Linked DNA regions of Cricetulus griseus. The protein of the gene in region 3 interacts with the protein of the main gene of each other region in a pairwise test. Links are inferred from orthologs where the notes say so. Each region holds a gene or a part of one and is shown on either strand. Other genes may lie near its edges.

Region 1 (5,291 bases), on a different chromosome or scaffold from region 3:
TTATTTTACATGTTACATACACAGGCACATACACTCAGTGTGCAATTCTAAAAAGCAACAGTGCAATATGAAATAAAAGTAGCAGCCGGGCAGTGGTGACACATGCCTTTAGTCCTACCACTCAGGAGGCAGAGAAGGCATATCTCTGAGCTCGAGGCCAGCCTGATCTACAAAATGAGTTCCAGGACAGCCAGGGCTACATAGTGAAACCCTGTCCCAAAAAAACAAAAAAAGAAAAAGAAAAAGAAAAAGTAGCTACATAGAGCATTCAAAGCTATATAACCCCACCTTGTCTCAAACAAAATAAAGATATGTATGAGATAGGAATTTTTAGAAAGCATGACTTTCCTTCAAGTAGCAGTTTTAATGTCAAAGGTGTACTTCTCTAGGTATCTAAATGCACTAATTCCTGCTATAGCAAATAAGGATTGGATCACACTGTGGTTTTCTGCTTTTAGAACCAACCTATAAACAAAACTCAGGACACCTAATTATGTCTCCCTAATACACTGCCAGTGTCACCAAACCTTGCTTTGTTTTTTCGAAGTTGTATCACTTCAGCATACAATGCTATGAAACCTTAATTTATAGAAAAAAAATACCATTCCTCAAGCTAAACTGTCAATGCTACAAACTTCTATTTTAAAAGTCATACAGGAACTGTGGAGATGGTCCCTGTGTGACAAGTTCTTGCTATGCAAACATGAAGACCTGCGTTTTCATCTTTAATCACATAAACAGCCAGGCATGGATGCACGTACCTGCAATCCCAGCATAGGGGGTGAAGATCAGTGAATCCCCAGAGCTCACTGGCCCGCTAGCCTGACCTAAAAAGGGAAGCTTGCAGTTCAGCCGGGGCACTCCGGAGCTGGCGGCTCCCTGTGCGCGGGTCAAACGGCCGGAACCCGCCAGCACCCGGGGCCGGGGCCGGGCGGAGGGAGTGCGGCGCGCGAGGGAAGGGCCAGAACCGCTCCACGACAGCGTGAGACCTCGCCTGGCCGGCCGCCACCCGCAAAAGCTCTTCCGAACACTGGCGTCTCACCTGAGCCCGGCGATCGTCCCCCGACGGATTCACAACGTGAAGATCCCGCGCGCTGCCAGCCCACCGCCCAATCGCAGAACGACTCGCGCAGAGTGACAGGGGACAAGAACCAATCAGACACGCTATGGGCGGGCCTCGGTGAATGCGCGCTGCAGAGCGCGCGCAACGGTTGCTAGGGACTCGCCGGACGCTCGCCCTACCGCGCCTCCGAGGAGCCAAAAGAGACCGACGTCTCTGCCCCACGCCACGGGGCTGCCGTTTACGCCCACGGCGGACCGCGAACGGTGAGCGACGCGCGGCCCGCCTTTTCTGTGGAGGGTGAGCGGAAGCGGACGACACGGGGGTTCATCGTGGGCTGCAGGCGGCGAACGTGCCCTCCCCGGCCGGACCGCGGCCCCTCCCTCCTGCTCCGAGCATCCGTGACAAAAAAGCGGCCCGTGGCGCCAGTAAACCAACGCGCAGGCGCGGAACACAGCGGTCTCCCAGGGCCGCCGGCCCCCGGTGCTGACACACATCGGCGAGGCTCCCGAGGTCGGGGATACGAGGCTAACCTGCCTCACCTGTGGCCTGTAGCGCTCTCCTGGCCGCAGTACCTCCTCCGCGCCTCCGAAGTCGGCACGGTAACGTGGGCGAACCCGCAAGCTTGAGATGTCTGCCATGCTGCCTGATGCTTTGCCGGGAAGTCGGCTTTCGCCCCGCTCGCCTAGACTCCACGCAAGCCTCAAACGCCTAGCTCAGGTGGAGCCGGGGCTTGCGGGAACTACAACTCCCATGAAGCACCGCTTCCACGCAAGCGTGTCAGCTCGCGCTTCTATGCTCGCTTCTATTGGCTGGCTGACAGGGCGGGGAGTTCTGATTGGCCCTTAGCCTGAGGCGACAGATTCCGGAAAGGGGAAGAGCAGCCAATATGGCGGCGGAGCGCGACGGCGGGCCGCAACAGTCGCAGGAGATGATGGAGGGTGAGCGGCCCCTGCGGGCGACCAGGAGGCGGCGAGCTGGGGGCTGGGCGGGCACGGCCTCTTGCCGGATCGGAGCTCGGCCTCCAGCCTCCGGCCGCAGCCACGGCTCTCTGACAGCTGCCTGCTGGACTGGAAGGGGCGGGCGGGGGGGGGGGGGCTCGGAGCCCGGGAGCCCCGGCCCGAGGGCGGCTGCGGTCAGGAAGGACCAGAGCCCCGGGAACAACGTGGCGCGAGCTCGGCCAGCAAAGGGGGGCGGGCGAGGAAGCCGCGGCCGTGGGAACCTAATCTAGAAGCTCCGAGATTGACAGGCGAGGGGGCAGGGGGACTGTCCTCTGTCAGCTCCTTGGGAAACCGAGGTTTCGGGCGTGTGGACCTGCCAAGTCCATAGTTTGTTCGCGCGGCATGCATGGAAAGAGGCTGCTCTGGAAGCGAATAGCCTGTGGCAGAGCGATGGGTAACAAGGAGGTCCGCTGATTGCGTTTACCAGGCGGTGCCTTGTTTTCTACATATTCAGAGTCTTGAAAGGACTAAATTCAACTTTCTTCCTTTTTTTCACTGTTGGATTGTGTCATTATATACATATATAAGTACATATATATATATATATATGTATATATATATATATATATATATATATCACATGTGCTTGTTTTGTACACAGTTGTGTAGATACATAATCGTGTGTATTTATGTGTACATATAGGTGTGTGTGTGCGTATATGTGCATATATAGAGACACACTCCTATACCCATTGTAGCATCAGGCAGATCTGAACCCTTGAATGCCTTTTAAAGACTGCTCTGTATTTCGGTGAGGGTTACTTCTGGAAGAGCAGTCACGCAGTCACTAGTGAAGAGGGTTGCAGAGCAAGGGGCATGGGCGTGGAAGAAAAGTCCAGTGTGTTTGGGAGTGGCCATGCTGCCCTGAGTTGGGCCGTGAAGGATCACTAGAAGTCATCCAGACTGGGGACAGGTGGGGAGGACCAATACCATTCCAGAATGGAAACCCAGTCAGAAGCAAAGGAGTATGGAAGAATTTGACCTAAATAAACTGTCATATGAGGTGGGGGTTGGGAAGAGACGGTGAGACTTTCTAGAAAAGGTCTTGGAGAGTCTTAAAGGGAGTCATACTGGTTTGTTTTGTGTTTTGGGGTTTTTTTTTTTAGTTTTATTTTGCCTTTGAATCTTTTCTAAGCAAGAAAATGCTTCTTCCTCTCCCCTTCCCTCCTACAGTACCCTCCTCCCCTTCTTCCTCTGTTTTTCAGTAAAGGGCAAATACAAAAGCCAGGCTTTCCTCTCTGCCACTCCCACACATGTCACTGCCAGCTGACACCTAGTTTCCAGAGCCCCATGTCTTTTGTGGGTGTATTTTGTGGGTTTGGATGTTTTTTTGTTTTTTTCTTTTTTTCTTTTTGGTTTGGCTTGGCTTTGGCTTTTTGTTTGTTTGTTTAAGATAGGGTCTCACTATGTAGCTTTGGCTGGCCTGGAGCTTGCTATAGACCAGGCTGACCTAGAACTCATAGAGATTCACCCACATCAGTTTGCTAGAGTGCTGGGATTAAAGGAATGTGCCACCATGCTCAGTGAGCTACCTGTTTTGTCACCTTCTCTATCACAGCCAATACCATAACTCAAACCTTCCTCCTCTTGATTTTATGGCCTTTTTGCTAGCCTGTCATACCTAGGCCACACAGTCACCTTCTTGCACACTGCCCCATGCTCTAGAACCTTTCTGCTGTCCTGAGGATAGATGCACAGGTTGCACCAACTGTCCCTTCTGTCTTCTGGGTCCTCCTGGGGGCCATGCAAATACCAAACAGAACCTAGTTTCCCTAATCCTGGATCACAGCTGGTCCTGTGTCTCTTGGGAATGCATACATTCTACATGTCATGCACCCGAGCCACTCTTGTGCCCTTTCTCTTTTGGTCCTGACGGCGGGGAGGTACTCCACAAACTCTTCTACAGATATGAATACTGAGGTTTAGGAAGATCATTTGCCAAAGCCACCTTTCATTGTTGCTTTCTTCGTAACTCAAAACCTGTTTGTTTACTCTAAAAAGCTTTGCATTGCTAACACTCTGTCCTGTGATCCTTTAACATCAGCAGTTTACCTAGGGCATTTGGCACTTTTGATACATCCTCATTTTCATTGGAGCTCCTCCCTGCCCACAGTCTGATTTTAGCTAGTCTTGATTGCTTTCAGAATGTGGGCCTATAATTTGAACCAGTTTTGGTCTTTTTGTTGTTGTTGTTGATGTAGGTATATGGCAGAAGGTTCACAGTGGTTCCCTCTTGTTCTTGTGGTGGATATCAGGTCAAATGTGAGAGCCACCTGGAAGGTACTTCACTATGTGGTGCCATTAGTGTTCCTGATCCCAGATCAGGTCCAGGGGCTTTTAGAACACTTGGCAGTTCTTTACAAGCTCTTGGAGGGAAAGGACAGCATGTCAATTGTGCCCACGTGGCCTCCTGGTTCCTGTCTCTATATCTTAAGTAATGTTGGGACATAGAAGACATTCAAATGTTCATGTCAACTGAATTTAACTATTTCAGAAAGAAGTCTTGCTGACTTACAACTTGTGTTAATCTGTTCTATATTCCTCAAATTGTCGAATGAAGTGGATGTGAATTCTCACTGACGTGTATGGGTTCAGTCGACAGGCGGGTTGAATCTGAAGAATCAGGTGATGAGGAAGGGAAGAGGCACATCGGTGGCATCGTGACAGACCTCAGTGAGCAGAGTCTGAAGGATGGAGTGGAACAGGAGACGGAGGACCCAGAAGGTACTGGGCATAGTTAACCTTGAACTCCCCATATAGTGGGAAGTGTGCTATTAAGATTGCTGCTGCTTTGACATGATTTCTCCTTGTAGGAGTAGTTGTGTTCTTCAAAGGTCCCAGTAGATTGGGCAGCTGGGCATGCTGGCAGAGGGCAGCCGGCTCTCTGGGGTACTGCCTCATCAACTGGCTGATTTACATTTATGGGTGCAGCAGATCCATTTCTGCTGAAGGGACAATACTACAGCTGATGACATTGGCACTAGGTGATGATTAGCACCAAAGCGGAAACAGAAAATGATTTTTAAATCCTTTACTCAGAAAACAAAATCTGAAGAGAATAATGTGGTGGTTAACTGCTATACTTATGTATCCTGCCACAAAGATAAGAAATCATTTCTGATCCAACCTCAACATTGCTTTTTTGAGACAGGATCTCACTATATAGCCCAGGCTGGCCTCAAGCTCAGAGATCTGCCTGCCTCTTGAATGTTCAGATTACGGGTGTATGC
Region 2 (5,550 bases), on a different chromosome or scaffold from region 3:
CCTTTCATCAGGTTACTTTGTGCCCTTGGCTGCTTGCTCTAAGCCTCTTGGTTCACATCTTCTCACTTCTGGGGGTGTGGTTTGGGTAATGACAGAGGTAGGTAGTAAAGAAAGGGGGAGTGGAAAGCTGTAAAACGTAAGGAAAAGTAATTTCCTTAAGCTCCAATAATCAGGTCTACATGTATAAATAATGTGTATACTGATCTATATGACCAAATTCCATTAAAGAGCTGGGGATGTAGCTCGGTAGTACAGTGGTTGCCCACCATGCTTGAAGCCTTCCCTGGCTTCAATTCCCAGCACCACAAAATAAACAAACTATTCATGGTGACACACAGGAAGATTCTTGAGACGCCACTGTTCTAGCTCTCTTCACCTTACTCAGGATGTTCCTGTAAAACTACCTGTTACTTAAAATGGTTTAAGTTTAGCTATGTAGCCCAGATTGGTCCCACAAGGCCCCAGCTTGTTTCTGGAGAAGCTCACAGTGGTCTTCTTGCTTCAGTCTCCCAAGTGCTGGGATCAGAGGTGTGTGTACCAAGTACAGCCCTTCAACACTGAAAACTTAAAATTCTTTTTTTCTTTTAAGATTTATTTTTATTTATTATGTATACAGTGTTCTGCCTACATGCCAGAAGAGGGCACCAGGTCTCATTACAGATGGTTGTGATCCACCATGTAGTTGCTGGGAATTGAACTCAGGACCTTGCTAGAGTAAGCAGTGCTCTTAACCTCTGAGCCATCTCTCCAGCCCCAAAACTTACATTTCTATCATCTCCTGGGGAACAATGTAAGTTTATATTTCAACTTGGCTCTCTAGTGTGAACCTGACCATGAACCTCCAACCTAGTTAGTCCCACACTGCCTTGAAGAACTCATGTAGTAGTATAGTAACCACTACAACAGGTTCTATTAAGAATCAGTCATTCCAGCCTGGCACGCCTTTAAGCCCAGCACTCAGGAGGCAGACGAAGGTGGATCTCCGTGAGTTCGAGGCCAGTCTGGTCTACAGAGTGAGTTCCAGGACAGCCAGGGCTGTTACACAGAGAAACCCTGTCTTGGAAAAAACCAAAGGAAAGAAAAAAAAGAATCGGTCATTCCCACTGGTTCAACTATTCCCTTAACCACTGATAAAAGATCAACATCTCAGTTCAGAAGATACTCTTTAATTCTCACCTTATCGAACATACATGTAATCCCAGCACTTACTTGCAGGAGGAGCAGGAGTTCAAGGCCATCCTTGGCTACAAAGCAAGTTTATTGCTAATCAAGGGCTACATGAAACCCTGTCTCAACCACTACCCCTCCACTTTATGAGTTATATCCAAGCACTCAAACCTATACAGAAATAACCAAGGTGAGACTAAAAACACAGGTCAGAACAATTAACTGTCTAAATACACATCTCAAACAACAATACTGGTATCTCTCTTTTTAGCTTTTACATGCTGGTGAAATGAAGAGTCAGCTGACACATTCTGATTACATGCCTTATGGTGTTAAGTGTTTCTAGCTGAACATTTCCCTAAGGTACACAATATGCTTCATAGCTACAGTGCATAGAAGACATTATACAAGCACCAATTAAAACCAATTAAACTAGTATTTCAGTACTAGGTCTAAGCTTTCTTCAGGCTGATAAGGACCTCAAACCTAAAATCCTGAATTATGTAAGAATAGCAAAAACCGGGTGTGGCAATGCAGGCCTCTAATCCCAACACTCTGGGGGCAGAGGCAGGTGAATCTCTGAGTTTGAGGTCAGCCTGCTCTACATAATGAGTCCCAAGACAGCCTATGCAGAGGGGCACTGCCTCAAAATAAATAAACAAATAAATAAAAGTGGGGCAGTTGGGGAAAAACTGTGGATGAAGAGTGTATTTGTAAAGTTTGGGTATGTGAGCATTTTTTTTTTTATCTGAAATGAGTCCAAAATCCTAAGACAAGGTTCATCTCACAGGAAAGTCTTTCCACTCAACTAGAACCCAATGCTCTGCTAAAGGTCAAGGAATCCCTTACCCTATCAGCCACCACTGGGGTAGAGGTAGGGGTAGAAAGCCCTACCCTACCCTGCTTTCCTTTTACAAGATACTGTGGGTGATTCTCAAATACTACAGTTTTATGGTTCCATCTGTCCTTGTGATCACCAAAACCATGAGATGGGAAAAGCCCTTGAGGCCCTCACTGAAAGCGCCTATTTAAGCTAGGTGTTTAAAGAAGGTCCCTTCACTGGGTTTCCCCACTGCTGGGTTTCCAGACTTTACTAACACTAGGTTAGAATCTGGCTTTCCACATGTAAGCCACATCCTAGGGAAGACACAAGATCTTTGTGGGAGACTTGGAACATGATGCTGCATTAACTCTCCTCTAAAGGATAGCGTCATTTATAACTGCCACATACCAACACCCGGGTTTTAGAGATTTGTAAGATTTAAAGCCACCAAAGAAAAGAAGAATGTGAATCGGCTGCGGTTTTACCATGAACTGAAAACTGGAGGACAAGGGGAACAGTGTTGTCTCTTGGGGAGAACTTCTAACCTTTCATACTGAAGAACAGTTTGTATGTCACATCGCCACTCTTAACCCTTCTAAAAAGATGAGCACTCAAATGGGGATGGATGGCAGAAGGCTGCATGTTAGGGCCTGAAAAAAAGATCAAACTAGCAACCAGGACAAGTGATGCTCTCATTTTTGCACACAACGCCAGAATAAAAAAAAAAAGGGGGGGGGAGGCATCAGGAACCAGAGCAGAAGGAACATTGTCAAGTCACCAGTCCCCTTAACACAGTTAAGGAACCCTTTGGCTCTCAACCCATTGATTCCCGCTAGCCTTCCCGCTCATTCCGATCGTCCGCAGTCCCTACAGTCTTCCACATCCTCCTGCCCGCTACTCACAAATTCCCAACCACTCCTCCCACATTTTCCTCCGGTCCCTCACTCCTCCCTTCCCGTCCCTCCATCCTACATCACTACCCACTCCATCCCAAAGTCAGCCGTCAGCCGCAATCCTGCCGGCTTCCGAAGCCGCCCGGCTGTCCCTGGAGCTAGCTAGATTGCAGCCGGGCCCGCGTCCCTGGCGCCCCTCGCTCCCACGCCTCTTCCCAGAGGCGCCCCGGCTCCCCGCCCCCCGCCCCGCACGGCTCTGCGCCGGAGCGCTGCCCCACGACAGCCCGAGAGCCGCTGCCCAGCGAGGAAAAGGCGGACCCCTCCGCCCCGCACCCCAGGCCCATTACCGGCCCCGCCGCGGCCGCTTCTCCCGTCACGGTCTCCGCCGCCCCCGCTGCCGCCGCAGCCCGGGTGCAAGGATGGAAGACGTAGGCGTGCCGGTCCGTTCCCGGGCCCGTCTCATAGATAGCTCCCGGGGCTGCAGGGTGTGTGGGCCGGCCGGCCGGCAGGCGGCGGGGGGCGGGTGGCTCTGCACTAGGGCACCCTGGGCAGCAAAGACCAGAACCGCCCCGGCTCCGGCTAACAATAGGCTCCGGCTGCAGCGCTCTGCCTCTTATAGGCGCCGGCGCGTCGCGGCCGGGGCCCGGGGCAGCTTGGGAAATGTAGTCTACACCCGGCCCACGCCCAGTGGCATGCCGGGAATCGGAGGTGGCCTGCGCCGCAAAGCCATATTCCGCCCGGGAAGCAGCTGCAAAGGGAGCATCCACAGCAGATTCCTGGAGAGAGGCATTAGAGCAGCTGCAGCATTTTGGAAGCAGAAGGCTGCCGACCCTCGGTTACACGTCGTCACTAACTAAACGAATTCTCCTATAAAGCCCTCCTTCTCCCCGCTCCAGGACCTCACGCCCATGCCTGAGGAACGTAATCCTCGTTCGTGGGTTGTTCCCATATGACTTGCTGCAGCTGGCCAAAATTAATCAAAGGAATTGCAGACAATGACCTATCTGCTTAAATGATGGATTCATTTCTTCTCCCCCACACCCCACAGGGTCTCATTATGTAGCTCTGGATACTCTAGAACTCACTATGTAGACCAGGCTGGCCTCAAATGCACAGAAATGCTCCTGCCTCCCTCCTGAGCGCTTGGATTAAAGGAGTGCCACCTTGTCTGCGGATCTCGCTATGTTCTTAAAAAAAAAAAAAAAAAAAAAAAAAAAGAAGAAAGAAAGAAAAGAAAATACTGTCATCTCTGATAATCATAGCTTTGCAACTCATCTTTAAAATGGACCAGATAAGGACCAAGAAGTTACTCTAACTTGTCAATTACCTAGAGCTATCCTTTCTTATCCTGTTTCTCCATTGACCTATAATGCAAGATCTAGGTCCACCTGTGGTGCCCCTCCCATAATCTCTCATTATTTTCTGCTATTCCCCTCATTTCCATATTGTGCTTTGATAAACTGGCCTTTCCTGTAGCTGCTTCAACAACCATACTTCTACCTCGAGTTTTTTGCCTTAACGGTCTTAAGTCAACCAGTCATATGCTGGTTCATTTACTAACTATTCAAATGTCTCCATGTTAGAGCTCGCTCTCTCTCTCTCTCTCTCTCTCTCTCTCTCTCTCTCTCTCTCTCTCTCTCCCTCCCTCCCTCCCTCCCTCCTCTCCTCTCCTCTCCTCTCCTCTCTCTCTCTTCCCCCTCTCTGTTTTGAATAAGGCCTATCTATATAGCTCAAGATGGCTTTGAATTCTTTTTTTTTTTTTTTCCCATCAAAATAGGGTTTCTCTTTTTAACAGCCCTGGCTGTCCTGGAACTCAATTTGTGGACTAGGCTGGCCTCGGGCTCACAGAGATACACTTGCCTCTGCCTCCGGAGTGCTGGGATTAAGGCATGCGCCACCATCATCACCAGACTCAGCTTTGAATTCTTAATGCTTCCTCCTCCTCCTCCTCCTCCTTTTCTTCTTCTTCTTCTTCTTCTTCTTCTTCTTCTTCTTCTTCTTCTTCCTTCTTCTTCTTCTTCTTCTTCTTCTTCTTCTTCTTCTTCTTCTTCTTCTTCTTCTTTTCTTCTTTCTTCCTCTTCTTCCTCGTTGTTTTTTGTTTTTTGAGACAGGGTTTCTCTGTGTAGCTTTGGAGCCTATCCTGGCACTCGCTCTGTAGATCAGACTGGCCTCGAACTTGCAGAGATCTGCCTGCCTCTGCCTCCCGAGTGCTGGGATTAAAGGCGTGCGCCACCAACGCCTGGCTCTGCTTCATCTTGAGTGCTGGAATCATAGCTATGATTTGAAACTTCTTCTCCTAGTCTCTTTCTTTTATTTCTCTGGCATTACTACTGGTTGAGTTTAGTTTTTAGTCTCCCATCAGTTGACTAGACTCCATGAGACTAAGGAGTTGTTTTGTGTACTTTAGTCTCAAAACCAAGTAAAAAAAAAGTCTGGTTCTTTGATGTTTAGGAGCACAGTAAATACTTATTGGCTACATGGATGGGTGGCAGAATTAAATTTTGTGTAGGCATGTGTGTGGTGGTTCTAAATCCTAGTGCATTTTTCATGTAGCCAAGAAACTGGCTACCAAGCCATCTCACTTTTGGAACTCAGATGTTAAGCGGCTTTGAAAAAGTACCATTAATTCTAATTTTCTTCCCTAGGTGACATCAGATACTTTTAAAT
Region 3 (3,743 bases):
CTAAATAAATAAGATTACTAAAAACTTGTACACTGTAAGCAGTTAAACTTTATGATATGGAAAATAATCATGTTTTTGTTTAGTTTTGGGTTTTCAAGACAGGGTTTCTCTCTATAGCCCTGGCTGTTTTGGAACTCTCTTTGTAGACCAGGCTGGCCTCAAACTCACTAAGATCCACCTGTGTCTGCCTCCCAAGTACTGGGATTAAAAGTGTGCGCCACCACCGGGCTTCATAAAAAAAATTTAAAGTAAGATCTACCTGTAACGGGGAAAATAAAGTCAAAGTTCTGTGTGGTGGCTTATGCCTGTAATCTCAGCACTCAAAATGCTAGGGCAGAAGGCTTGCCATGAATATGAGGCTAATCTGCCTACACCAACAACTACACCACTCCTCAGGGTGCGTGTTCAGAAGTAAGTCGAGAACCTGGAGTTTTTGACTCAGACTCAGTGTTTTTTCCTCTCTAATGAGATGAACTAATGAAGAAAATTTTAACTTAGTTACTGAGACTGTGCATCCAAGCCATTGTTATTAGAATACAAAGGAAATGATAACTAGTAAGTGCCCTCCTTGGAGAAGGGTGGTGCTGGAGGCAGGACCCAGGCTCTTTTTCATGCTGAGCACACACTGAGTTGCTCTGACAAACTTACCCAGTCCTAAAATCTAAGAAATGTTTGTGCAATGTTGCTGAGCTTCTGTTTTCATTGGACTTTAACAATTGATGCCATTTATTGAAAGAATAATGTTGTTAATAAATTATTTATTTTAAGATATTGAAACCATCTGAAAAGAAAGCTAAGTACCAGTATGGTGGACTGAATTCTGGACGTCCTGTCACTCCACCTCGAACAGCTAATCCACCGAAGAAAAGGTGAAGAAAGGAATTCTGTAAAGAAAGCATCAGATCTGTTAAGGACATACTTCATAATATAAAGTGTGCACTGTAAAACCATCCAGCCATTCGACACCCTTTATGAGGTCACACCTTTAACTTAAGGAGACGGGTAAAGGAGCTTAAATTTTTTTCTAATAGAAAGATGTGCTACACTGTATTGTAATAAGTATACTCTGTTATAATATTCAACAAAGTTAAATCCAAATTCAAAAGTATCCATTGAAGTTATATCTTCTGGTATCACACTTTTTAAAGATGACAAGCATCCCAGTTAAACTAGCTGTGGTAGTTACCCGATGAAAGCATGACGTTCCATCTGTGTAATGTGGTTTTAGTGTTGCTTGGTTGTTTAATTATTTTGGGCTTGTTTTGTTTTGTTTGTTTTTGCTAGAATAATGGCAACTACTTTTCCTGTTTTTCCCTAAACATTTTAAAAAGTGAAATATGGGAAGAGCTTTAAAGACATTCACCAACTATTAGTTTTCTTCACTTAGCTACTTATGTAACTGTTTGATCTTACTAAGAAAACTTATGCCTCAAAATAACAAAAAGGAATTTTAAGGGTTGATGGGTTTTAAAAATATACAAACTATCTGATCCAATGATTTTAATCAAACAGTTTGACTGGGCAACCTTTGCAGCTGATAATGAATATTTCGCTTTTTACAAAATTGCCACTGATTTGGATTTGTGCACTCTAATTTTTAATTTATTGATGCTCTATTGTGCAGTAGCATTTTGTTTAAGATAAGGCTCATATAGTATTACCCAAAACTAGTTGGTAATGTGATTATGTGGTACCTTGGCTTTAGGTTTTAATTCGCACGAAACACCTTTTGGCATGCTTAACTTTCTGGTAATTACCCTCACCTGCATTGGTTTTGTTTTTTGGGGTTTTTGTTGTTGTTTGTTTGTTTTTAGATCCACAGAACATGAGAATCCTTTTTTTGACAAGCCTTGGAAAGCTGGCGCTCTTCTTTCCCTCTCCATGTGAAGGATGTATTTAAATGAATGCTGGTCAGTGGGACATTTGTCAGCTCTGAGTATCGGGTGCTTCACTGTCTAATAATTGCCATGTGAATGTTGTTTTTGACTGTAAGGCTTTGTCACTAAAGATTTTACTCTGCGTTTTCATAATCAAAGGTCATAATATGTATAGACATGCTTTGTAGTGAAGTATAGTAGCAATAATTTCTGTACATGATCAAGAGTTTATTGCAGCATTTCTTTTCCTGTTCTCTTTTTTTTTTAAGGGTTAGCATTAACAAATGTCAAGGAGTAGCAAGGTCAACACAGATTTTAGAAGGAAGACTTAACAACAGGCACAGATCTGTGGTTCTTTGGATGTGACACTATTGGATGTGATTCTAAAGTCTTTATTGAACATGTCAAATTTGTAAGCTTCATAGGGATGGACATAATATTTATAATGCCCTTCTTATGTGTTACCATAGATGTGAAACCTTATATTGTCTTTGAAAATGTTAAACTGAGAACTCTGTTAACATTTTATGGATTGGCACATTGTATTACTGCAAGAAACATTTGATTTTCAGCACAGTGCAAAAGTTCTTTAAAACGCATTCATCTTTTTTTTTTTCTAATTTTGTTTTAAAGCACATTTTAAATGTAGTTTTCTCATTTAGTAAAAGTTGTCTAATTGATACAAAGCCTGAGTGATCATTCTGTGTTGTTTTACAATGAGACATGTACTGACATAGTTGTAGCCATGTTTCATTAGATGACACACACATTTATCTAATGTGATTTGTTAACTTTGCTGGGGTATAAATCAAATAGTTGCTAATAGGAATTTAGTTGTTATCTCTTAGTTGTCTATATTTAAAGGTAGCTCAAGAAAGTAAGCCTTAATCTCAATATTAGTTAATTTGTATCTTATAGACCAGATTTTTATAAATATTCATTCAGATTAAAACTAAGGAAAAGTAAGCAAATTAGTATTGGTTATTAAAGGATAGACATTATACTATGTAGAAAAATTATTTCAGATCTCTTAAAAACTACTCTACAGCTTCTCATAGATAAGCACTCAGTACATTATGTGCTCCTAACAATAATACAGTAATCACAGCTGAACATATGCAGCTATCACAGATTATTATGCTAGTTTGCTGGCAAAATCTCAAAGACAAAAAATAGAATACAGGCTGCCTTAAGTCCCAAGATTTGTGATGCAGACATGAAGATCTATGAAGTCAGGTCTACATATTAAGATCTTTCTGAGAAAAAAAAAAAATTTTTTTTTACAGTGTCCAGTCACTAGATGAAAAGTTACAGCTGGGCAGTGGTGGCACACGCCTTTAATCCCAGCACTCGAGAGACTGAGGCAGTCAGGACAGCCTCCAAAGCCACAGAAAAACCCTGTCTCGAAAAACAAACAAAAACAAAACAAAACAAAGGGCTAGAGAGATGGCTCAGAGGTTAAGAGTACCGACTGCTCTTCCAGATGTCCTGACTTCAATTCCAGCAACCACATGGTGGCTCACAACCATCCGTTATGAGATCTGGTGCCCTTTTCTGGTGTGCAGATATACATAGAAGCAGAATGTTGTATACATAATAAATAAATAAAATCTAAAAAAAAAGAAAAGTTACAAGCAGTTGCAGAGGACCTGGGTTCAATTCTCAGTACTCACAGGTTGTTCATAGTTGTCTGTAGTGCCTGGCCAAGGGGATCTGCTACCATATGCCCTCGCTGGGCACCAGGCACAGGTGGGTACATAGACAGACATGCAGGCAGAACCCCTATACACATAAAAAGAAAATGTTTAAATGATTTATTTTATTATTTCCTGGAATGATGCTTGGCATGTCAGACAGATGCAAATA

Evidence for each region. The genes of interacting proteins can lie anywhere in the genome.
Region 1: the proteins of Ppp1cb (region 3) and Ppp1r7 interact in binary tests that used the Homo sapiens proteins (3 or more experiments, as listed by UniProt). The link is inferred for Cricetulus griseus from reciprocal best matches to the Homo sapiens genes PPP1CB and PPP1R7.
Region 2: the proteins of Ppp1cb (region 3) and Csrnp2 interact in binary tests that used the Homo sapiens proteins (3 or more experiments, as listed by UniProt). The two-hybrid records come from large-scale screens. The link is inferred for Cricetulus griseus from reciprocal best matches to the Homo sapiens genes PPP1CB and CSRNP2.

The regions. Positions count from the first base shown.
Region 1 is NC_048595.1:444,810,815-444,816,105, forward strand, and holds the start of Ppp1r7 (protein phosphatase 1 regulatory subunit 7), read left to right. Parts: upstream 1-1,816; 5' UTR 1,817-1,949; coding exon 1,950-2,001; intron 2,002-4,656; coding exon 4,657-4,785; intron 4,786-5,291. UniProt on the Homo sapiens protein: Regulatory subunit of protein phosphatase 1.
Region 2 is NC_048595.1:396,957,949-396,963,498, forward strand, and holds the start of Csrnp2 (cysteine/serine-rich nuclear protein 2), read right to left. Parts: upstream 3,476-5,550; 5' UTR 3,231-3,475; intron 1-3,230. UniProt on the Homo sapiens protein: Binds to the consensus sequence 5'-AGAGTG-3' and has transcriptional activator activity. May play a role in apoptosis.
Region 3 is NC_048600.1:11,974,216-11,977,958, reverse strand, and holds the end of Ppp1cb (serine/threonine-protein phosphatase PP1-beta catalytic subunit), read left to right. Parts: intron 1-768; coding exon 769-873; 3' UTR 874-2,563; downstream 2,564-3,743. UniProt on the Homo sapiens protein: Protein phosphatase that associates with over 200 regulatory proteins to form highly specific holoenzymes which dephosphorylate hundreds of biological targets.